Linked DNA regions of Canis lupus familiaris. The protein of the gene in region 4 interacts with the protein of the main gene of each other region in a biochemical or structural test. Links are inferred from orthologs where the notes say so. Each region holds a gene or a part of one and is shown on either strand. Other genes may lie near its edges.

Region 1 (6,212 bases), on a different chromosome or scaffold from region 4:
AAACTGCAAGATTCAGAGTCCTCACGAAACTCTGTGACGCTCACACCCCACTAGGCGCCCGTCTTCAAGGCCACATTTGTGTGGACACAGCTGGTGAAAATTCGTCTCCCCCACCCCCACCCGCAGCCAGGCAAGGCTCAAGGCCTCAAATAGACACCGGGAGGCTGGACGCAACCATAGCATGGCATTTCCAGGCAGGTTTTAATCGTTTTCAATACCTTCCCCGGTTCTTTACATCAAGTCCAATGGGGTTCTTTTCATACATGACAAATGTTTCCATTTATTCGGCATATGTCAATGTGCACAGCACATACATCACAATAGGGCTCAGCACCTGTATAAAACTACAGACAGATCCTGCAAACCGCGGAAAGTACAGAAACCTTAGATCCCATCACGACAGTAGAAAACACTTTGCAATATTGCAGAGGTCCAATGACATCTCTATACGCTTCCCACAAGGCTCGCTGACTAGCAAGTGGCCAAGGATCACCACATTCTGCACTTAAGACATCTTCATTCCTGACAATCGGATTGGGCTCTGAGATGAGACATCGTGCCATCATCCCAAGGCAGCTAAGACTTAGGAAGCGAGTATTTGAAATACCGAATGTCCACACATTCCAGCCCCGCCCCCTCCCCCCCATCAGCACCGAGACCTGGGAGCATCCCCTCTGCTCAAGACTCCTGGAGCCTAGGACGCAATTTAAAATTGAAAACATTTTTTATTTCACCGCACGGACGGGGACGGCCGGTTGAGATGTACAGTCCAGCCATCAGGCTTCACGAGCGGCTTCCTTCCTCCTCCAAGGCCTTGGTTTAAGGACAGTATTTTAAGTAGATGATTTGCATTCGAACAAAGAGTTTTAAAAAGGAATGTGAAAGACACAAACTCCAATCAGCCTTTTCCAGTCTTGCTGTCTGTAGACTCCCATAAAGTTAATTTGGGAGGTGGTTCAGAAACATCCTAGGAGAGCATTAAAGTCTTGACAAAACATTCGGAGCATTTCTGGTAGCGAGCTAAGGTCATTTTGTATAAACTCTAAAAAGTCATTCATTAAAATTAAATGTTTGCCATCACCTCAGGACTTTTTTTAAACATCACCGACCCTGCCTCTTCCATCTTTGCTGCAGCGACAGGGGTTACATTTGTAAAATATATAAAGAAAAATATAAGGTTACTTGGTGACCATATAGTGCACTCTAACAGCTGTCTGCAAATATTTTCACCATGATTATCCTTACTAAAAGTAAATCACGGGGTAAAGATAGCTCAAACGTGACAAGGTTTCAATGGGACGCACCGACGCTATCTGCAATCCTCTTTGGCTACATATGGAAAAAGAGCCACTTGGGATAGGGAACGCCTGCGCCGGGTCTGAGCTTTCTGCAGATTTCACCAGATGAGTGGGTTAAGGGTTTCGAGGTAGATGTTAAGTCCACTTCATCAGGTAATGCAATGGAGAGAAGCGGCACCTTCCTCCATGCAAACACTGCATTAAGTGTTTTTGTACAATGACAAGGACATTCCATCTAAAAAGAACAGCTAGTTCTAGCTCAAATCTTCCCAGGCACAGGGAAGCACATTAAAACAAACAAACAAAATCTATATTCTATGACTTATCAGAAGTACCAGCTACCACAAATTGTATTTTATCACTCGGGCTTTGGTTGTGGTTGCAAATATACCCATCTATCCACTTCCAGCTTTTCAGCGGGAGATGGGTTCCTTTCCGTCGGATTCACAAAATTGCTTTGTTTTTGCCTCTTCCTCAGTGGCCACAGAGAAACATGGGCTGTGGCTGAGCCAAAAAAGGAAAACAGGAGTTTATAAAGTTGTCTAAGAGTCTCCCCCATCGGGGAGATGGAGGAAGATTGACTACAGAAAAGTTCAAAGGTCAGTCTTGGCAGATCTAAAAACAGAGTGACAGTGGTGCACTCCCACAGTGCATTTTCTGTACCCGAAGTAAGGCGATATGTCCCGATGAATAGCAACAGGGCACAAAGGAGTGGGGCGCCGGAGGATGCTAGGAGCAGAGCCAGGGCTGGGAGGGTCCTTAGCTGGCTCCATGGCCCCAGGAAGGCCTCTCCAGACACAGAGATGCTCAGCACCACAGTACAAGGGACCGTGCAAAGCAGGGTTGAGACTGGAGTCTGACGTCACCGTTTTTAAAAACACAGAGTAGCAGCACACTTGTGACAACTTTTTGACAAGTTAAATAAATCCAGTGGAAAGGTCTTCACCGGTCTTACTAGAAAACTCAGGTTTGGGTTTTTTTTTTTTTCTTTTCTTTTTTTTTTTCTCCAGAAAAATACAAAACACACCCACAGAACCATAAATAATTTGGTGGCGATATATACACATTTAAATAATTAATTTAAATATCTTACACCTACTCTGGCATTAAATTGTCCATCTGGAGAAAGTCTCCTGAGCATTGGGAAACTGAGGCAGGATGCCTGGAGTCACAGCCTGGGGAGGAAGTGGGTGACCTTCATGGTGGGGGACACTCGGCTCCCTTTCTTGGTCTTCCCGTTCTTGCTCAGGGCAATGAACATGCCCGGGTACCTGTAGCACTCGTAGGCATTGTAGTTGTTGGGGAGCAGGATCTCTTTGAACTTGCACTCCTCGGTGAAGAAGGGCTGGGAGGGAGAAGGGACAGAGTCAGGTGGGGCCACCTCCTGGCCAAGGAACCCTGAGGGTCACTTGTCAGGGGCTCCTTTCTGGCCAAGCCCTGATCTGGCTGAGAGAAGTTGAGGTGCCAAGACCCCCATAGGGTGAGAAGACCAAGGTGACCAGCCCACAGCAGTTGGTGCTCCAGCCACCTGCTCAGCACCTGGCGGCCAGAGAATCTCCTACCAGAGACTGCAGTCCTGCCTGATGGAACCCACCGGAGAGAGGCTACAGAGAAGGCCTGGTATTGGCACCTCTTAATGGACTAGGAAGTGCCACGCGGGGATGGCAGAGACCTCATTGTTCCTGTCTTGGGTCTCTGCCCCTTGTTTGGACGGCCTGGGTCACCCGCACGGCCGCAGAGTACTTGTGTTTGGGGGGGAGGTGCCAGTCCTGTGACCCACCAGTCCCACGATCCGGGCTCCAGGCATACACAGGCCGGCCTGGAAGACTCCGGATCCTCCCGCGCTGCCGGGTGCTCTGCTGGCCCTCGCGGTACTCACCGAGCCGTACAGCTTGCCCTTGCTGCTCATGGCCACGAAGAACCGGCTGGCCACGCCGAAGATGCTCACCACGCCCCGCTCCACCGGCGAGAGCTCCAGCAGGCCTGGGGGCGGGGCGCGGGTCACTCCCGGGCAGGGGACCCTGGCCCGCCCCAGCCGTTCCGGAACCCCCTCGGGCCGCGGGCCACCGGGACCCCGTTTCTGGGGGCGGGGGTGGATGTAGAGGGGCCCCGGAGCCCGGCGTGCGCGGGTGCGCACTGGCTGGCCTCCCGACCCGGCCCCGCGGCGGCCGCGCCCAGTCCCGGGCAGCAGGAGCCGGGTGGCCCCCAGGGTCCCCGAGCCGGGCCGACCCGGACGCGCTTCTCGGGCCCCGCGGGCGCAGGCGCTGGAATTCGGCACCCAGAGCCGGGGCTTCCGAAGGCGGGGAGGCGGGGCCCGTTCGCCCCGGTGCGCAGAGACAGTCGCCGCCGGACTCCGGGGCCGCGGATGCCTCTGTCCCTGCGGGGGGGACCGGAACCGGAGTCCGTCCCGGTTCCCACGGCCGCCGGCAGGTGCCAGCCGGGGCCTCCGCGTGCGGGTCGGAAGGGGCGGCTGTGCCCGGGGCCCCCACCCTTCGCGCCGGCGCGCCCCACTCACTGTCGCTCGTGTCCGCGTGCACGCCGCCGATGCGGCCGTCGGGGAGCACCTGGAGGTGGAAGCCGATGCCCACGTTGCAGTAGAGCCGCCGCAGCCGCTTGATGCCCAGGAGGTAGTCGCCGGCGCCGCTCTGGACGGCCGCCTCCTTGGGCTGCGCGGCCACCGGCAGGCGCGCCAGCGAGCGCACCACCAGGCTCTCCCAGCGGCGCTCCAGCTCGGCGCCCAGCGTGCCGTTGGGGGCGGTGGGGGCGGCGGCGCCCCCGCGGCCGGCCCAGGGCGCCAGCACCGCCAGCAGGACCGCCGGGAGCAGCGCCGCCGCGGCCGCCCCGGGCCCCGCCATCCCCGCCCTCGGGCCGTGCGCCCGGGAAGCCGCGGGGCCGAGCTGCGCCTGTGGCGGCCCGCGGGAGCGCACGGCCGGGACTCGGTGCGGAGCGCGCGGCCGCAGGCGGAGCGGGAGGCGAGGCGCGGGGCCCCCGGGCGCCGGGGCTACCCGGGCTGCATGGAGCGGCGGGCGGCGGGCGGCGGGCGGGACGCGCGGCCGGGCTGGGACCCTGCGGAGCGGTGCGCGCCTCCCTGCGCGCTGGGCCGGCCGCTGCCGAGCCGCTATATATAGCCGGGCGCCCCCTCCTACTCCCGCGGGGGGCCGTTCGCGCTCGCCTGGGCGCCCGGGGCGCTGTGGCGCTCGCGGCCGGTCGCAGGCCGCCTGCCAATCAGGGCTGGGGGAGGGGAGGCGGCCGGGACGAGCGCCGCTAGTGCCACCTGGAGGGTCCCCGGCCCCCACCCCGGGCTCCGCGGGCTCGCCGACCTGTTGGTCCCGCCCCTCGCGTCTCCTGCGCCCCTGCCTTCCAGCCGAAGTTTTGCCTTCCGCACTTTGTCCCTGCGGTCTCCTTCTCGCCTCTGCCTGAGCCGCTTGAGTGCTGCGCGAAGCGGGCACCCTCAGGGCCCAGCAGCCACCCCTGGCGCCCGGACTCTCGGGGACTCTCCGGAACCTGGTTCCTTTGCTGGCACCATGCAGACCCGCCTCGGTTTGGGGGGTAGGTTAGGGTAACCAGTAACGCGAAAGGTCGGAGGCTGGGGGCAGGTACGTGTCCCCTGCACTGGGGCGGATGCAGAGATGGAGTTCTGCGAGCCAGGTAGAGGCATCCCCCAGCAAGGTGCTTCCAGTGGACGCTGCTAAGGGAATGCAAGGCGGTTGAGGCGGTGGGGGTGCACCCAGGAGAGGCCACAGCCTTGCACCTTCTACATGCTGCCTCCTCCATGCAAGGACAGGTGGCAGGGCTCAGGGCCATACAGGACATTCACGGCTCCCTCCCCTCTGATTCACAGGAGGAATAGTCAAGTGCTGTAGCTGGAGGCCCCCCATCCGGTGGGGACCCAGGCCAAGCCTCTGGAGCACCACACTCTAGACATCTGCTGTCACCACTCCCCACTGTGTGCATTATGGCCTGATGAGGGCCGGACTCCCCAGAGGCCCAGCTAGGTGCTGGCTCACCTAGGTGTGAAAATCCCTGTTTTCTGTGGTACCTGAGGAGCCTTGCTGCCATCTCCCAGCAGGTCCTGCCCAGCTATAGCTTTGGGGGGGCTTGGAGCCCACCCCAACCCCTGCTGCCACCAGCGCTTGTGACCAGAGACACCCCCAGGCCATTTCCATTTCGTCCTCTCTCACCTCCTACCCCATTCCTGCAGGAGGACCCCTTGGATCAAACCTCTGAACTCTGCCAGAGCTCACTCACCCCGCTGGAGGTGACCTGGGAGATTTGATGTTTCTGTCCTGAAACCCCGGGGGCAGGGAGGCTTGGCAGGACCAGAACCAGGTCTCCAGCCTCTCCCACGAGGCTTGTTGCTCCTCTCTGTGCGTGCCGCCTGCTGGAGCAGCGCCCACCCAGGCAGGGGCCTTCCTGGGCTGTTGGCTCAGGCTGCTTTGGGGCCCCTGGACCCTCCAGATGAGACTTCAGATCTGGATCATTCTGGGGGGGGCACAGGTGTAGGGGACTGAGAAAGTCCCACAGTAGGTGTTCAGGAGGTGTTCGCATGAATGGCAGCCTGGCTCGGGGCAGCTCGGAGCCCCCTCTACCCACAGACACTCCCGTTCAAGTGGCAGCACCCAAGCCCTTGCTGCGCCTGGATGCTGAGGAGATAGCAGTGTCGGGGTGCCAGGGAGATGGAAGGGTTGGAGTGCCAGGTCCCCCCATGGAAGCTCCACACTGGCTTTTTTTCTCTTTAATTTGAAGCAACAGATGCACCAAGGTGACTAATGTTTGCAGATCCAGCCTCCTTGAGGACTTGAACCAGGCCCTGCTCACACCCCACGGGCCCCCATTTACCAAGAATCTGGGATCCAAGGAAGCGTGTGGGGCCCTGTGGAGGTTCTGGGCTCTCAGCCTCCTGCTTTGAGTTTG
Region 2 (5,778 bases), on a different chromosome or scaffold from region 4:
GGCTGGCAGGCGTCACCAGATGTCACCAGATGGTAGAGAGCCATACTCAGTCATTATGAGAAGCAGCAGGCAGCGCATGGGCAGCCTTACAAGTGTAGCGGGTGCTGTCAGGTGTTCCCCAGGTGTGACCAGGTGCTGGAGAGCCGCATTCGGTCACCCACCAGCAGGCGTTACCAGGTGCTGCGGCATGAGTCACGGTTAGTCATCAGCGTGGAGCAGCAGGCGGCCTGGGGCACTCAGCCGCACGAGGCTCGGATCCCGCCCCTGGTCTGGGTTCACCCGCGCTACCATTCTTATTTCTAGAAGAAGTCAAACAATAAACAACGTGGCCTCCTTGAAGATCTCCTGCTTCCGGTGTCAAGAGCCGCCAGGCCCTCCCCGGAGCCACTCTCAGACACGGGTGTCCGCGTCGCCCGGGGCACGCTGAGTTGTCTCAGCCCCTGACAGTTCAGGCTTCGTGCACGGGGAGGGGCAGCTCAGGGGCCTCCGGGCGGGGTGTGAGCCGTGCTCCGCGCCACCCGGCTTCCCGGTCCCTGGGCTCCGCCACCACCGAGGCCTGTGGCGTTGCCTGCGTCCCGCAGCTGAGGGAAGCGGGGTGTGGGGGCGCCATACCCACGGCCTGCAGGCCTGGCTCACAAAGCAAAGCTCCGCGACCACGAGGCACCGCTGCAGAGGGGACAACGGGCGGCTGGGAATCTGCCAGGCTGGACAGGTGTGCTGCAGGTGAAAGCGGGTGTAGGGGGCTCGGTTGGGATGTGGGTAGCAATCTTGGCAACCAGCTGTCCAGGCCAAAGGAGGGGTAGGCTGAAAGTTAGGATGATAGTGAGGGCCCTGGCAGCCGTCCTCCGCCAGGCGAAGGGACGCCGCAGCGTGAGGCCATTTCCCTCTGTCCCTGGGGGTGGGGCTGCTTTTAGGATCCTCAGCAGCTCCCTACTTGTGCGGCAGAAAGAAGCCCATATCCTCCGATTGCTTCTTATGTTCTAGTGGCAACCAAATGCTGTCCTGAACCTGTGTTCCCAAGGAGAAAGATGCATTTGATAGCTAGTTCTTTCCGTTACTCACACTCTTTCCATAATGCGACTCTAAATAAATCCAGGAATACCTGTTCTCACTAGTTGCAAAGCTCAGTGACCACAGAGCTCAGCGACCAATCAGTTTGATTGATTCTGGGTTCAACTGAAATATCATCAGCTAGAGGCTATTCAGAACCTGGCTGTGTCACAGGTAACGACGATTCATCTTTTTCACTGCGTAGTTTATTGATAATTCCGTATTGATAGGTGGTTGCATCTGCACATTAGCTCTAGAAACCGGATATTCTTAAAATATGTTCAGTTAAGGGAGGCTAAGATTACTTTTTGATAAGATATCAGCAAATATTACTGCTGTGAGGATTGCAAAGTTCCCGGAGGCCTACAGCTAAGGCCTTGTGATTAGCATTTAACACGTAAACAGAATGACTCATTAAAGAATTAAAATCTGTGTATGTCTACAGTAGTCCAAAGGGGGCCCTCAAATCGTAGAGACGCTTCATGAATATTTCTAATCAATTATTTGACAACTACATTTAACTCAGAATGTCATACTTTGTTGAACGTGTGTATGTATAACTGAGGAGATCTGTTGCTTGCAGGATAATGTTATAACTCATGGGTCAGATTCCTTTTAGAAATTAGCATAAAATATTAGTTCTTTAGGAGGAAAAGAAAGCAAATACATTTATTTCGTAAGACATTCCAGGGCGGGCACCTGGGTGGCTCAGTTGGTTGCGTGTCTGCCTTCGGCTCAGGTGATGATCCCAGCATCCTGGGACTGAGCCCCATACCCAGCTCCTAGCTAAGTGGGGAGTCTGCTCTCTCTGTCTGCCTCTCCTCTCGCTCATGCTCTCTCTCGCTGTCTCTCTCAATTAAAAAGAATTACATTCTGGGGAAATTTTGACCAAATAAGAATTTTTACCTTCCTTTCCAGTGTCTTGGAAATCAAGCATCATGTATCTTTAATAAGTTTTCTTTCCAGGGAGCAGTCTGGGTCAGTCGGTAGAGCATGAGACTCCTGATCTCAGGGTTGTAAGTTCGAGCCCCACGTTGAGCGTGGAGATCACTTAAAGAAACCAAAATCCTTAAAAAATAAGTGAAATTTTCCTCTTCTCTCTTTAGCCTCTCTTCCCCAAGAAGAACTATGAATGCCTGACAAGCTGTGAGTTCCTCAAGTACATCCTGTTGGTGAAGCAGGGCGACTGCCCAGCCCCGGAGAAAGCCAGTGGGTTTGCCGCCGCCTGTGTGGAAAGTTGTGAAGCTGACAACGAGTGCTCTGGGGTTAAGAAGTGTTGTTCGAACGGGTGTGGACACACCTGTCAGGTGCCCAAGACGCTATACAAAGGTAAGGAGGAGAGCTGATGTGACGGGAACCTCACAGAGTCACTGGTGTGTGTGTGTGTGTGTGTGTGTGTGTGTGTGTGTGAGTGTGTAAGGATGTCAATCAAAGAAAGAGAAGAAAAAGGGTCAGAAAACACACTGTGACACACGGAAACTTCTGAAAATATTACTGGACCATACAGATCAGCCACGATGCACTCATTCTGGGGCGGGGCAAGTCCTTCTTATTAGAGCGAACGTTTAGGAAGGTCATCACTTCACGAACTTCCTCGTACTTTTCCGCACGGGGAGTAAGTCAAGTAAGCTGCGCCGTGGACATGGGAGCAAATTGAATTTAAATCCTTGGAAAATAGGCTGGGCGTGGGGCACCCTTGAAAAACGCATAACAAACGCATGGGTTTTGTGGTTTTCCTGTTGGCAGAATCCAAGAACAGAAGTGTCATTGTACGGACTTGAAATATTTTGATTAGCGTCTTGAGAACCCAGATGGAGGAATAGCTTTCTTCCAAAGACGGGGATGCAGTTTACCAAACAGTTTAGCAGATGTAATAGTTTACATTCATGTACAGACACTTTCTAGAGCCCTAAACTCCTTGATGCTAAGGGCTACTTCCCTCTTCTGGGAATTGTGACTCGGTTCTTTGAAAGCAAACCCATTCTGTTGTGTTACGTACAGGTTTGGGTACCATCAGAGTATCCCGGGAGACAAGATTTTGCTGGTTCTTTGGGTCTTCTATGAAGAGTGAGATAGAATCAATCACTAGGCACTATTCATTACAAGTAGAGAGAGTCATCTCTCCCTCCCTCCGTCTCTCTTTCCCTGACACCAAGTATATATTCTTCCCAAATATAGGTCAGTTATTTTTAAACCGTATAAAAGAGTATTGCCAGCAGTGCCAGTGTTGAGTGATGTGCTGTTTTCAGAAGTCTGTTCTTACTATCACAACGGCTCTAGTCTCCCAGAACTCACGTCCCTGCCCATTTCCTCTGGCGCTCACTTGGAATTACTGTCTCTCGAATCTGTACAGTCCTCCCAGTTTTCCTTGTATTTGCATAGGGTCTTGGGAAACCTGGCATAAATATTACGACTCAAATTCAAAATAATTGCCCCTTCCCCGTCTTATCAGGTGACATGTCTTAATGGATTTAAAGTTTTACTGTTTTCATGCCTCTCATAAACTACATAAAATCACTTTTGCAAAACAACAGCATTTAATTTTTCTAAAGTCTACTATTAAGAAGCCTTTTCTGTTATTCTAGATCACTTACTATTTAAGTATTCACATTTACCATAAAAATAAGATGCTTTTAGAATGACTGTTGAAAACCCATTTGTAAAAACCCTTAGTGTTTTAAAAGGAGGGTGTTTTAAAGAGGCCATATAAATTAAAACATGCTTTTTATTTAAAAGCATTGAAGAGTCCGTATGAATTTCAAATATGTCTGGTTCACCAACACTAAGGGAAATATTCTACAAAGGGCCAGCGTAAATGATTAATTATTAAAAGAGACTCACGTTTTAAACCTATGCTTAACTAAATATGATGAATTTTTTTAAAAGTGCTGAAGTCCCTCTTCTATAAAGTAGCTCTTAACTTGGGTTTTTTGCAGAGACAGGTGATTCTTGGAGAGCTAACCAGGAATAGAATAAACAGACTCTTGACCTGACGGTGACTTTTGCCTAGTGAGCCTAGGACAATATTACTGTTATTTTGAAAATATATATAAGTCCATGTAGGTATTTCCCCCTTGCTCTGTTGAGCAGTCCCTGAAGGAAGGCTGGCTTCCACATTGCTGGGGGGGTGGGGGGGGTTCTGACATGCCACCAGGTAAGAACATGTGAGCCACAAGGGCTCCCCACAGCCTGCTGTGATGCTTTCTGTGACTGTCTTCGCTGATTAGGCACCTGGACTGTCTAATCACATCCCTGACCAGGACTCACACTGCTTGCTCACTCTCAGGAGAGGACAGTGGTGCTGAGTTGTACCTAGCACTTGGCTTTGCAAGGACAAACACACGCAGCCAGACAGTCTGCATGCAAATCACCTTTGCCAGTCTGTAGAGTACCTGCCATCAGGGTCCTGCTCGCCTGGGCTTTGTCTTCTTACTGACCTGAACCAAGTGGGGGAGATCACCTTGCCCTCCTCTTTTCTGCTCGTGCTAGGTCTTTGCCATCTTTTCCCTCAGGGAGCAGCACCCCGTCATGGGTTGGGATGGGCTGGTCCTACTCCCAGTCCACAAGTGCTGGAGTTGAGGCTATAAGCCGTTGCTCAGGTGATTTTTGGTAGCTGGTAGTAGAAATACATGTGACCTTAGCTCCCAGCTGGGCCAGCTCAACTATTATTTTCATTTTGTTTGTTTGTTTTTTTAAGATTTTATTTATTTATTCATGAGAGACAGAGCGAGAGGCAGAGACATAGGCAGAGGGAGTAGCAGGCTCCGTCCGAGGAGCCCAATGTGGGACTTGATCTTGGATCCTGGGATCATGCCCTGAGCTGAAGGCAGATGCCCAACCGCTGAGCCACCCAGGCATCCCTATTTTCATTTTGAGTCTATCCAACTATCATAATGGACCACAAATTATTGTATTAATATAGTAGAGATCAATCAAAAGATGGATCAATATCAAATATTTTAATGTGATAAAATCACTTATTTGTCATCGGGTAGAGGGGATAGCATCAGTCTGATAGCAGCCCCTATCTGGTCCAGTAGTGCCCTATCAGGGTAGTCATGCACATAATGCTCATTTGTGCATAAATAATTATCTCAGCTTCTGTAGTAAATTGATAGGTGTCAACTTCCATCCTGTTTTTTCCTTTATTGTGTATGAGGTTAAGCATTTATATAAATATATGTATACCTGAGCTGATTTGATTTGCAACTGCTGATTCTCATCATTGAGTTTTCTATTATTATATTTTCTGAATTTTTTAAATCACTAAGTTTCATATATGTATATATTTTAAAGATTTTATTTATTTAGTAATTAATGAGAGATACACAAAGAGAGGCAAAAACATAGGTAGAGGGAGAAGCAGGCTCCCTGTGGGGAATCCAGTGCGGTACTTGATCCTGGAACCCTGGGATCATGACCTGAGCCAAAGGCAGATGCTGAACCACTGAGCTATCCAGGTGCCCCAGTTAAACATTTATGTATTTATTTTTCTTTCTTTCTTTCTTTCTTTCTTTCTTTCTTTCTTTCTTTCTTTCTTTCTTTCTTTCTTTCTTTCTTTCTTTTCTTTCTTTCTTTCTTCATGAGAGACACAGAGAGAGGCAGAGACACAGGCAGAGGGAGAAGCAGGCTCCCCACAGTGAGCCTATTGCAGTACTTGATCCTAGGACTCTGTGATGACTTGAGCTGGAGGCATGTGCTCAACCACTGGCACCCAGGTGCCCCTAA
Region 3 (5,778 bases), on a different chromosome or scaffold from region 4:
GTGACAGGGTCACCAAGCTCTTTGGGAAAGACAGCATCAGGGGCTGGGTATCAGCCATCACTGAGGGCCAAGGAGCTAGGAGGTGAGCCCTCCCTGAGCAGAGCAATCTGAAAGGCAAGAAGCTGTCATCCGAACAAAGGATGGGGCGGCTCAGGGGCGCCTCTGCTCCCAAGGAGAAGAGGGTGGGTGTGGGAAGAGGCAGGGTGCTGCTTGTACTTACGGACTGGCTGTGTCTTGAACTCGGAGGCCGTGCTGATCTCACCCAGGCCCTTGCCATTCAGGGCCGCCAGCCGCACAGCGTATGTGGTCTCGGGCTTCAGGCCCACAATGGTGACGATGCCCTCCATGTTGGCTGTGGTGAGAATACGAGAAGGATCACAAGGGGTTTGGAAAGCTTATTGGTAAGACGGCGTAGTTGCTGTGGAATACCACACAGTGGGTCCTCAAAAAATTAAACTTAGCATTGCCATGTGATCCAGCAATTCCACGTCCGGGTAAGTACACAAAAGCATTGAAAGCGGGAACTGGAACAGATACCGGGACACCCACGTTCACTGTAGCACTGCTCACAATAGCCAAACAACCCACGTGTCCATCAGCAGGTGAGTGATACACCGAAGGTGCTGTGGATACAGTAGTATCGGTCGGCCTTGCCCAGGAATGAAGCTCTGACACGTGCTACAATGCAGTGAGCCCGAGGACATCAGGTAAGTGAAATAAGTCAGACACAAAAAAGGACAACTACTACATGATTCCTTCATAGGAGGTACTCGGAATCGTCAACTACACAGAGACAGGTGGTAGAAGGGTGGTTGCTGGGGAGGGCGGGAGATGGGATGGAGAGTTAGTGTTTACCGGGCGCTGAGTTTAGGATTACGAGAAAGGTCTGAAGATGGATGGTGGTGATGGTTGCGCCCAATAATGTGAATGTACTTAACGCTGTTCGACTGTATACTTAAAAATGCCTAAAATGGTAAATTTCATAGTCTACGTATTTTGCTACAACAAAAATAGAGCCAGAAAGTTAATTATACTTGAACTACAAAAATATACAAAAGGGGAGGAAATCCAGCTGTAGCAATGGCAAAAAGGAAAAAAAAAAAAAAAAAAAAGCCAGCTGGACAGATTGTTAACACGGGACCAACTCGCCGTAAAGTTGGTGTGAGGTTTCAGAGGGAAGTTAGGGAGGTAAAGAGATTATTTTCTCCTGGCTCCAGTCCTGATGGCACAGAAATTCCTCCCAGGCTGCTCCCCCAACACCAAAAGCTGAAGGAGTGATGGAAGCTTCCTGGTGAAACAAATTCTCAGTAAAACCGGGTCAGAAGGTGGTTGCCCCTGTTACCACATACAGGACTGGGATTAAAACTTTCTATAGGAACAAAGCATACTTCACTGACGTATCCTGATTAAACCCCAAATGGAGAGTCAGGTACATTTATAAACTCAAACCTCAGGGCAAAATGGTCTGGGCTCTGAATCTTCCGACTGCAGGCATCCAAGGGTCATTGTTTACACTTTTAGTTTGGAAATAATATCTCAGGCAGATTTAAGAGCAGACTTTTCTCTCTGGCAATTTGTTATTTGGTTAAAACCACAGTTACATGACAGTCTCCGAGTACACCAAGCAGGACCGGATGGGTGATGGCAGAGAACCTGCTGCCCGGGGAGCCCACAGGTGCAGGGCAGGGGTGGACTGGGCTTCTCTGGTTGTGCGCCACACCTGAGCATGACTCCTGCTTGGAACGTGGCTGAGATGGCCTCATCCCTCTTAGTACGGTCCTGAGAAGCAGGTTCTGAGGTATCAGGGGATAGAAGGCCAGCAAATCTAGAGGAGATGTGACCGTGCCCTAATTCTAGAGGCACAGGGATGCTTCTGCAGCACAGGAACAAGAACGGATGGCAGTGTTGGCATGTGGCATCCTCAGCAGGTGAGCACGGTGTGCCACGCCACCCCAGCAGGTGCTCAGGGTGCCGGGACTCAGGGTGAGTGTCTTCCCAACCCCGAGCAACCCATCATTCTAAAGGAAATGCCGACTCTTCCCCACGTACCTTCTTTGGCATCATACCACTTGAAATGCCACACTTCCTCGCCCAGTGCTCTCCACTCAGCCTTGTATTTGAGGATGGGCACCCCACCTGTGGCCTCTGGTTCATCAAACTGCACCTGTGCTGTGCTAGAGTACGGCTCCACCTGGTCGATGGATGGTGAAGACGGGGTGTCTGTGGGGGGGGGGTGCACAGATGGAAACCCAGGTGAGCCCGGTTAGGTCCAGGACAGAACTCTCAGTCACGAAGCATGTCTCTCATTTCTGCTCATTCATGGGAATCCTGTCGCCTATATCCTGTCCCCCAGCCCAGCTCACCATAGGATTATTCCCAACAACCACTGTGCTCACAACCTTGAGCCTCTACGGGCTCCCTGCTTCCTGACCCTGTCTTTGGTTACCTTGGCCCTCTTCTTTCTACTCTCCTGGGGTCATCAGAGGGCATGGGACAGGCCAGCAAGGGTAAGGATAGTGTGGCCATAGAGGGTGTTTACCTGCTTGGACAAGGATGAATTCCAAAGACTCCTGTCCAATGCGGTTCACTGCAGTACAGTTGTAGTTTCCAAAATCATTTTCAGAGTCTGGGGTCACCTTTGGAGAGAAGGAACTCTGGGTTTTAAGTGTCCCATGGAATGGCCACCAACAGAGATCTTTATTTATTGGATTAATTTGTAAAGAACAGAAACAGGAAAGCATGAACCATTAGCTCCAGCCCAGCTGTAAGCCAGAGAGAATTGCCAAGGGGCCAGTGAGAGAGGCATGTCTGGTCCCCCAGGCCATGACCTGGCCCTGGGAGAGAGAAGGGGCCGGGCTGAGGCTCCGTTTCTTCCATAGCTGCTGGCTCCTCTAGTCAAGATGTGCCAGAGAAGCAAGAGAGGAAGTTTTAGCTGCATATCCATAGGCAGCCTGTGTCTTCTCCACCCTCCCCTGCTCCAGCCCCAACTCACCTCCAAATAGCTGGCGGAGGGGGTGTTGTAGATCTTGATATTGCTGTAGTTGGAGCTTGGCAGCAGCTGACCATCTCGAAACCACGAGATTGTGGCACTGGGGTAGGCAAACACCTCGCATGTGATGTTCACCTGGTTCCCCTCCCAAGTGTACACAGCCACGGGGCCCTGCAGCTTGGGGGCATCTGCGAGGGACAGCAATGCCCATCAGGAAGGCCAGCACCAGAGAGGAGCCCCGCATACCCCGCTTCCTAACCCCGGGTGGGCAGGTGTGCCCCAAAGCAGAGCCAGTGCCGGGGCAGAGTAAAGGGCAGGCTGGCTCAGCAGTCCTGTGAGCCACGTGGGAAGATAGGAGGGCTCATCAGCTTGTAAGGAGCCTGGGACAACTTGGGGACAAAGCTCTGGACCGGCCTAGGGCAACCGCCACAGGGAGCATGAGCAGAGCAGTAGCGTGCAGCTCAGGTCCTGGCTGCTCATTTCCCTTTTCATCCTGACCCTGCAGGGTCCCCCCCACCCCACATTTTTCCACAGTTACTGCTCACATTGCACTTCCAGATACATGGACTGGGAGTCCTGGCCGATGGTGTTGCTGGCGGTGCAAATATATTCTCCGGCGTCTGTGTACTGGATGCTCTTCAGGGTCAGGGATGACACGCGGGCATGGCTACGCACCACTATGTGCCCGTCCAGAGTCTGCCAGGAGGGAAGGGGAAGCGTCAGTGCCCGAGGCAGGGTTGAGGGTAGGAGACTGGGCCATCTCTTGTCTGCGGCCAGTCTCACATCCTCTTCCCCAATCTGTGCCCGCGTCTCTCACTTAAGGCACCGACTAGCGTGGGAGGCTCTGGAGAGCACCACAGGAACCTGAGTGTAACCCAAATAGAAAATGGGACTCAGTTTATGTTAAGCAGTCTAGCTTCTGTGCCAAGATTGGTTTGGGGCAAGGACAACCAAGGTCCCCCAAGATGACTTTGTTTGGCATGTCTAAAGTGGAAGCAAAAGCCCCGGCCAGCAGAGATTCCAGCAGCAACAGCTTTTGCTTCATGAGACTCTGGGAAACCTGTATCCTATGCTTTCCTTCGAGGAGTCTGCCCATCTGCTAGTTCCATGGTGCATGTGCACGTAATGGGAAATCCGAATGTGCCAAATGCAAGAAATTATACAAGAAACCTATATTTCTGCAGATGCCTCACTTTCCTGAATGCTTAAAAAGAAAACAATTTCATTCAAGAGAAAGTCCAACAACTCAATGATGAGAGGCTGTTGAGCTGGAAGTGAGTGTAACTGGGTCCCTCTCCGGGGAGAGTGGTACAGAGTCCCAGGCAGTCACCACCATATTCTAGCCCTTGATATGATAATTGGCTTCCTGAGTCTCTGGAATTATAGTGATTGGTCAAAAGGGCAATAAGCATATGATCCCTAGGCAAAGGGAACTGGAATATTTCCAAGGGGCTCCTGCTTTGACCATCTAAAATGTATAATGGTTGCTGGCCTAGGAAAAGTCTGGGCGTGCTGCCCAAGTTCAGATCCTCAAGAAAGCTGGTAATCTGAAGAAGGAGTCTTGCTCCTCATAGGCTGGGCCACACTCTTATCTCCATCATATGATATTCTGTGGAGATCGGCAGGTGAGTGCTCTGCATATGGCATCTGTCGTCCCATGGGGTTGAGTCTTTAAAGAATGGAAGAACACCTGTTTCAGGCTCTTCTGACAATGCTGGTTTGGAAGTCTGAAACTCAGAATTGCAAAGTTGCACACAGTCTGGGCAGCTCAAAAGCAAAGGCCTACGGGCCTTATGGGGCAGTCTCTGCAGATCTGTACCAAGAAGTCCCTCTGACCATCACTAATGGAACTAATCCATCTCAGGCATTTAAGCCCCATCGAGGTTCATATCTGGAAGCTGGAACACTACAGCTGGCAAGGAGGCAGAGAGCTGAGCAAAATCATTACTGCCTAACTCTGCAAAGGCCACCCTGCTCTCAGAGTAGTGCCCAGATGCCCATGGCTCTCAACATCCACCTGACTGTAAGTCTGTAAGGCTGACTGGTTCAGGAGATGTCATACATTAGTGAGAGATGACAACAAGGGTCCCTGGATCCTGGGACCCCCTTTTCTTGTGGGCTAACAGGGTTGTCCCAGTATCTACCAGTGGCAACTTCCATGAGTCATACAAAAATTAACCCATCAGTCTAAACTAGTGGCATCGAGAGCATCCTTGCAAGTATCTCTGAAGGGCTGACTTGATCTGTTTGTCACTCCTGTCTGCCCCAAACATAGGACAAAGGCAGAAAGGTTCGAGGTCCACCCCCTGCCCTTCTGGTTATCTCAATGAGAACACAGGTTCAGCCAATAGTGACAGCCAGCAGCCGAACTATGACTGTCAAACAGACGGAGCTTGTCCTGGGCTCAACACCCACAAACATGGAAAACTGACCAGAGCTTTAAGAAATCAAGAGAACATTTCCACCATGGAAGTAATACTGCAGCAAAAGTTGCAAAGAGAGTCATGTAGGTAAGAGTAGGACAGTAACAACAACAAAGCAGGGCATGAGCAGTCTTTACTCAGAATATTCTAGAAAATGGTTGAAGAGAAGCTTGGGAAGTGGTTTCACTGACAGCCATACTTTTCTCCCCTTCTATGTGGTCTAAATTTCTCTATGTGGGAAATGTTCTTTTCTTTTCTTTTTTTAAATTTATTTATCCATGACAGACACAGAGAGAGAGAGAGAGGAAGAGACAAAGGCAGAGGGAGAAGCAGGCTCCACGCAGGGAGCCCGATATAGGACTCGAT
Region 4 (5,778 bases):
TCCCCACTGAGCTCTGAGCCCAAAGAGGGGCTCGATCCCAGGACCCCGGGATCATGCCCCTGGGCTGAAGGCAGATGGTTAATTGAGCCACCCAGGAGCCCCTATTCTTTAGTTTAGAGATGTGTAAGTAGCTGCCTAGGCACAGACAGAAAGTGGCAATGCACAGATTAGAATCTTATCCAGTGTAAAAAAAACAAAACAAAACAAACAAACAAAAAACCTTAACCAGTTGGATCCGAAGGCCACAAGGCTACCTACACCAGCTATCCTGACTGATGTCCCTGAAAACCTAAGACAGCACAAGCAGGTGGTGCTACAGACGTCTATAGCCCAGATTCAAAGTCATACCTTGGAGGACAAGGAAGGCTCAATTCCCACCCCAACTTCACCCAAGGGAACCTTCAGGTACCATACCTTCTTTGAGGCGAGATATTCCATGCCTCGGGCCACCTGATAGGCGCAGGATACCAGGTCCTTGGAGGAGAGCTGCTCCTCTGGGTTGTGGCTGGGATTGTAACAGTACTCCAGCCCAGGAGGCCTCCGGGCCTGCAGGTACTCCCGTAAGTTGCCTTTGGAAGCATACTCCACGATGACATACAAGGGACCTGGGAGTGTGAGGAAAGAAGGGCCATCAGGGCGGGTGGGCAGGTGCCCCGGGCCAGCCTTACCCTGAGGAAGTCCCACCCCCAACCATACACCACGTGTTTGTTCCCCAATCCTAACCACCTTTAGGGAGCCTGGGTAGTTCATCCCCAGAAAGCCAAGGAAATGATTCTTCCCAGAATACTCCAGGAAATTCCCAAGAAAAGCTCGGGGGGGAGAGGGGGGGCGGGCAGGAGGAAGAACCCTAATTTAGATCACACGTGGTTCTCCCCCCCTACATTGTATGAATCTATGTACTTGTATTCTCCGATGGGCGTCCATGGGCATCAGCTCAGACGCTAACTACTGCTAAACTGGCCTCTCCTCTTACCTTCCTTCTTCCTTCCCTAAGCGTAGCTGAGATGCCTGGTCACTGCTTATCACACTGCCCCGGCAGGCACTGCTATCTGAGTGGGAGGCCCAGGTTCTCAGCTGAGACTGTAGGCCAGCCCGGGTGGGAGAGCAGGCCTTGCTTGGTGCCTACCGTCCTGCGTGCACGCCCCCAGCAGGTTGATGATGTTCTTGTGCTTTCCGATCATCTTCATCATCTCCATTTCTGAGATCAGGTCTGACAGGTCTTTCTCTGTAGCATCCGCTTTACACACAAACCAGAACACAAGACTCATTTACTTGGAAGGGAGGCCAAGGAGGGAAGCAAAGGGGGAGGGGATGGCATGTATGCTGGAGAAGGCCCTGTTCTCCCGGACTTGCTTCTCTCCTCCCCATTTCACACCCAAATCGACAGTCCCTTCCCCCTTATGTGAGCTACTGGCAATAGGTGCTCATGTGCAGGGTGGAGGACAGGATGAGAAAAAGCAGCTAACGATGGGATCTGGAATAAACACCTGACTGCACCACAGCCCAGATTGATGCCAAGGGACAAAGTGAGATGGGTAAGAATGCCCTTCCCAGGCAAGGCTAAGCCAGCCATGTAGCGGGTGTGGACAGTGCCAGGGCACCGGAGAGAATGTTCTACATGGCCCAAGGCCCAGAGTTTGCTTGGGAAAGGAAGGGATCGTTTTTGCAAGGGAGAAACATCACTTACACTTCAACATCTTCACGGCCACTTTGGTCACACGGTTGGGTTTGTCCTTGTCCAGCCCAATGGCTTCTGCCAATACCACCTGCCCAAAGCAGCCCTCTCCCAGGGGTTTGCCTAAAACCAGCCTTTTGGGGAAAAAAAAGGTGGTGTGAGTTGGGGCTGATACAGTTTCAACCTTAAGAGGACATCCCATCTCCACCCCTCCATATTCTATCCAATTGAGAGCAGAAAGCATCAATTGTTATTTCTGAATGCATCTGGTAACACCTTCGGGGGGTGGGAGGACAGACTTCCTCAGAGGCTGACAAAGTATCACCTGTCTCGAGGCAGTTCCCAGCGAGGGTCTTCGGGAAGCTCATATTCAGAGACCCCAGCCAGCATGGGTGTTCCACTTGAGGAGAGACGTGAGGGCCGAACCAGCAGAACCCCAGAGTTCATGGATGCACTAGAATCGGCCGACACCTGCAGGGAAGTGTGGGGTCACCCTTCTAACGAGGATGGGGTTGGGGGTTGAGCAGCAGCAGAGTCCTGCCATTCCTAGTCAGGGCTTTCCACCAATGGCAGAGGTATGCATCTGTTATCTGATGTTCTCTCTCCAGTACAGAGTGGCAGGAAGACCACAAGAAGTCTGAAGACCTAAGTTCTAAAGCTGACTTATTTTTGCCATCAGCTAGCTTTTCACTTACCTTTAACACAAGCAGACCAAATCTTGCTCTTCCAGACCGACATATAACCTATCATCGCAATCACAACTCTATCCTTGTTTCCATTCTTTGTGAAAACTCTGCCTCAGATTATGGATCCCCCCACCCCCTTTTATTTAAGATTGTATTTATTTGGGAGAGCGAGCAAATGAGAGCACCAGCAGGGGGGCAGAGGGAGAAGCAGTACTCCTCGCTGAGCAGGGAGCCTGACATGGGGCTTGATCCCAGGACTCTGGGATCATGACCTGAAGTGAAGGCAGAGGTTTAACTTACTGAACCACCCAGGCGCCCTGGATTATGGATTCCTAACTCCCAAAGCACCCTCCAGAATTAGCACAGCTCTGAATGAATGTCCCCTCCTTTCACACGCCTTCACCCTCTGTTCCATTTCCTTGGATGAGAGGAGGGTGGCATCCTGAAGAGGGAGAGGCCTCCTGGCACCTGACTCAGGTCCTCTTCTCCATCTTTGTACCTCTAACTGGCCCTCGAGGACTGTTCAAAAGTACAGGATGAGTTGCACATCAGGCCTGTCTAGGGCCTTCTCCTGATCCATGTGCCAGGTGAATAGGGGGCCTGCAGTTGGGGTACGATGGGCAGACTGAATTCATGGGCAAGCATAGCTTGGAACCCACCTTGGGAGCACTTAGGACATTCCACCGCCCCTGGCCCAGAAGCTAGAAAGCCAAGCTGGTTGGGCACAGAGGAGAGGACAGGGCATTCAATGGTCCTGGAGGAGCCCTGGGGGCCCAGGGAGAGAAGGTGGTGCAGAGTGTGCAGACCCCCTATCTACTTTCTGTTACCTGTCTGCGCAGAGGGATGCTCTTGGCCAGCTTGTGCACAGCCATTTGGCTGTGGAAGTCGCTCTTTTTGGTGCCACTCTTCATCTTGTAGATGATGACAGAGCCCACCATGCAGGAGATGAGGAAGGCCCCTGTGCAGTAGATGATGATCTCCAGGTATAGGGGCGAGGTCATCGCTGCTGGCCTCTCTTCCAGGGCTGAGTCAGTGTGGACAGGGTGTTAGCAGGCTCTGGGGGCCCAGCTTTATAAGAAAAACCACCCCCATCTCCTGTCCTCTGAGAATTTTCAGGGCAGACAGGAACCAAGTTAGGTCCCAGCTGGGACCGAGCTCTGGCACCAAACCTTTGAGTCTTCCTGATCCTGACTCAAATCCACCAAGAGGAATGGACTAGAACTATACCACTACCTGGGGTCCATGCTCACTCATTCAGGAGCCCACCTTGCTCAGGCGGAGGGCTCCTTACTCAGGAGCCCTCCCAGCTGGCCTACTGGGATCCATGGGTATCAGGTACCCATCAGGGCTTGCTCAGTCTCCTCATGGAAACCTGGGCCTTCTCCACAGAGTCCCAGCACTGAGTGTATTCACCTATCACATGGGACAGATGACCCACTTATGAGTCCTTGGTCCTTGACAGCCCGTGAGCACCCCTGAGGGCCAGACTGGCACCGTGCTCATTTCCACATGCTGCAGCGCCTGGCATATTGTGACACATAACGAAGACAAGGAGGAGAGGGAGGGAACCCAGTCTGCATCCTGATGATATCTCACTTCCTGCCTATGCCATGTGGGTCGGGTCAGACATGTAAATATTTGCACCTAGCTACGCCACAGGCAAAACTAACTTCATTTCCAATCATGTCTGGACTGCTTGAGATGAGAACATAAAGCTCCGTTGCACTTGAGAATTCTACTCAGGCCCTTACTCCTAAAACTGATTAAGGAAATTGGGGGAGGAGGCATTGTCTTATCCTTGTCCTCCACCTTCCATTTGGAATCTAGCCTGGTTCCACAGAAGCCCATCCAACTCAATCTACCCATCCCTTGCTCATGAGAAGCTGGGAGGCTTCCCAAAGGCTCCATCCCCACCAGTGTGAATGCCCCTCTTCCTTGCATGGCTTTCTCCCAAAGACACCAGCCAGCCAGCCAGCCAGCCAGCCAGGGGACCACACCCCACCCCCCTGCCGAGAGAGGTGCAAGGTGTGGCCCAAGATGGAACCCAACGCAGTCCCCAGCCTGACAAGGAGACAGCAGAGCTAATAACAAGAGGAAGTGTTTCTGTTTTTCTCTCTCTCTGGTGGGGACACATGAAGACAACCACGTGGGAGCACACACAGGACAAAGACAGTGACAGGGTAAAAACAGAACGCTTCTCTGCCTCAAGCAGGGTTGTTCTCAGATCCCGTGGGTCAGGCAGGGCAGAGGAAGAGAGAGGAAGAGGTCAGTGTATCAGCAGCAATAGGAGGAGCACAGCGCCCAGACCCATTGCAGGACGCTCACAAGCAATGATGAACAACCCACCACCTCAGCAGGCTGCAGGCTCCTTCCTTCCTGACCCAACTCATAGACCTTCACTCTTAGGAGCCAGAGATGATAAATGGGCACCACTGAGTCCCATGTGGCCTCCCAAGCCAGGCCTTACTTGAATAAGACTCCAGCTCACTCTTCTGGGTGAATCTCTCTTCTGAGATCAGAGGATGGGCTAGCACTGTTCCTTACAAGCAAAAAGTGCCCTCTCTACAGAACATGTCCAGCCTCTCAAGATCTCTGGGACCCACAAAAAAGGATCAGACAAGTTAGGGAAGGCTGCTGGACCCAAGGAGGGAAGGAGCCTGCCCTGCAGGAGAGCCCGGCTGCAGGTTAACCCCAGATTCCATGCATGCATCGCATGGGCTAAGGGGGAGATCCAGATGCAGGTACATAGGGGATAGGCCTCCGTGCTCCTGCAGAATGAGGACAGCTCCCGCGAGAGCTGAGAGGATTCGACACTCAAGCTCAGACAAATTGCCAGGGCCACCCACAGGCCCCTGGAGCCCATTGCTCTACCTGTCCTGGCTCTGTGTTTCCCCCGGCCCCACGATGCATGCTCCCCCCGTGCCCATGGCGAGGGCAGGACATCGAGAGGAGAAGTGCAGTGTATACCTTCCAAAACGGTCAACCATGCAGAGTGATGGGAGAGTCCGATAGAGTTACCCGCCAAGCACGTATACTCCCCCGCGTCCTCAAAGGAGACATTCCTTAAGTGAAGCACTTCCATCTCTTTGTCGGTGGTATTAACTCCGGCAGTCTAGAAGAGACAACGGAAGCAAAATGGACAAGCACGGGACGTGAGACCTCTAAAAGACACGGAGGGACGGAGGGAGGAAGAGAAGGGGGAGAAACCGGAGGAAGAAATGCTCCCCAGCGTCTCCTTTGCAACAAGGAACACACAAAAACCACCAGGCAGTGAGACCTGTTAGAGGAAAGACAGTGAGACCCTGAGGGGGGGCTCTGCAGACCTGAGACGCTGCTGGCTGGTTACGACCCTTCACCAGATGCTGGCAGCCCCGGGCCCGTCCAAGCATGCGGGCGGGCGGCGGGCAGCATGGAGAA

The links.
Region 1: the proteins of FGFR1 (region 4) and FGF4 form a complex in vitro, tested with the Homo sapiens proteins (2 studies listed by BioGRID and IntAct, with this or other methods). The link is inferred for Canis lupus familiaris from reciprocal best matches to the Homo sapiens genes FGFR1 and FGF4.
Region 2: the proteins of FGFR1 (region 4) and ANOS1 form a complex in vitro, tested with the Homo sapiens proteins (3 studies listed by BioGRID and IntAct, with this or other methods). The link is inferred for Canis lupus familiaris from reciprocal best matches to the Homo sapiens genes FGFR1 and ANOS1.
Region 3: the proteins of FGFR1 (region 4) and NCAM1 form a complex in vitro, tested with the Homo sapiens proteins (2 studies listed by BioGRID and IntAct). The link is inferred for Canis lupus familiaris from reciprocal best matches to the Homo sapiens genes FGFR1 and NCAM1.

The regions. Positions count from the first base shown.
Region 1 is NC_049239.1:48,867,384-48,873,595, reverse strand, and holds FGF4 (fibroblast growth factor 4), read right to left. Parts: upstream 4,154-6,212; coding exon 3,814-4,153; intron 3,282-3,813; coding exon 3,178-3,281; intron 2,644-3,177; coding exon 2,467-2,643; 3' UTR 285-2,466; downstream 1-284. UniProt on the Homo sapiens protein: Plays an important role in the regulation of embryonic development, cell proliferation, and cell differentiation. Required for normal limb and cardiac valve development during embryogenesis.
Region 2 is NC_049260.1:5,430,813-5,436,590, reverse strand, and holds part of ANOS1 (anosmin-1), read left to right. Parts: intron 1-2,156; coding exon 2,157-2,379; intron 2,380-5,778. UniProt on the Homo sapiens protein: Has a dual branch-promoting and guidance activity, which may play an important role in the patterning of mitral and tufted cell collaterals to the olfactory cortex. Chemoattractant for fetal olfactory epithelial cells.
Region 3 is NC_049226.1:19,967,424-19,973,201, forward strand, and holds part of NCAM1 (neural cell adhesion molecule 1 isoform 1 precursor), read right to left. Parts: intron 3,686-5,778; coding exon 3,535-3,685; intron 3,178-3,534; coding exon 2,993-3,177; intron 2,637-2,992; coding exon 2,540-2,636; intron 2,221-2,539; coding exon 2,050-2,220; intron 353-2,049; coding exon 221-352; intron 1-220.
Region 4 is NC_049237.1:27,808,018-27,813,795, reverse strand, and holds part of FGFR1 (fibroblast growth factor receptor 1), read right to left. Parts: intron 5,474-5,778; coding exon 5,329-5,473; intron 3,386-5,328; coding exon 3,183-3,385; intron 2,147-3,182; coding exon 2,001-2,146; intron 1,810-2,000; coding exon 1,688-1,809; intron 1,238-1,687; coding exon 1,127-1,237; intron 606-1,126; coding exon 415-605; intron 1-414. UniProt on the Homo sapiens protein: Tyrosine-protein kinase that acts as a cell-surface receptor for fibroblast growth factors and plays an essential role in the regulation of embryonic development, cell proliferation, differentiation and migration.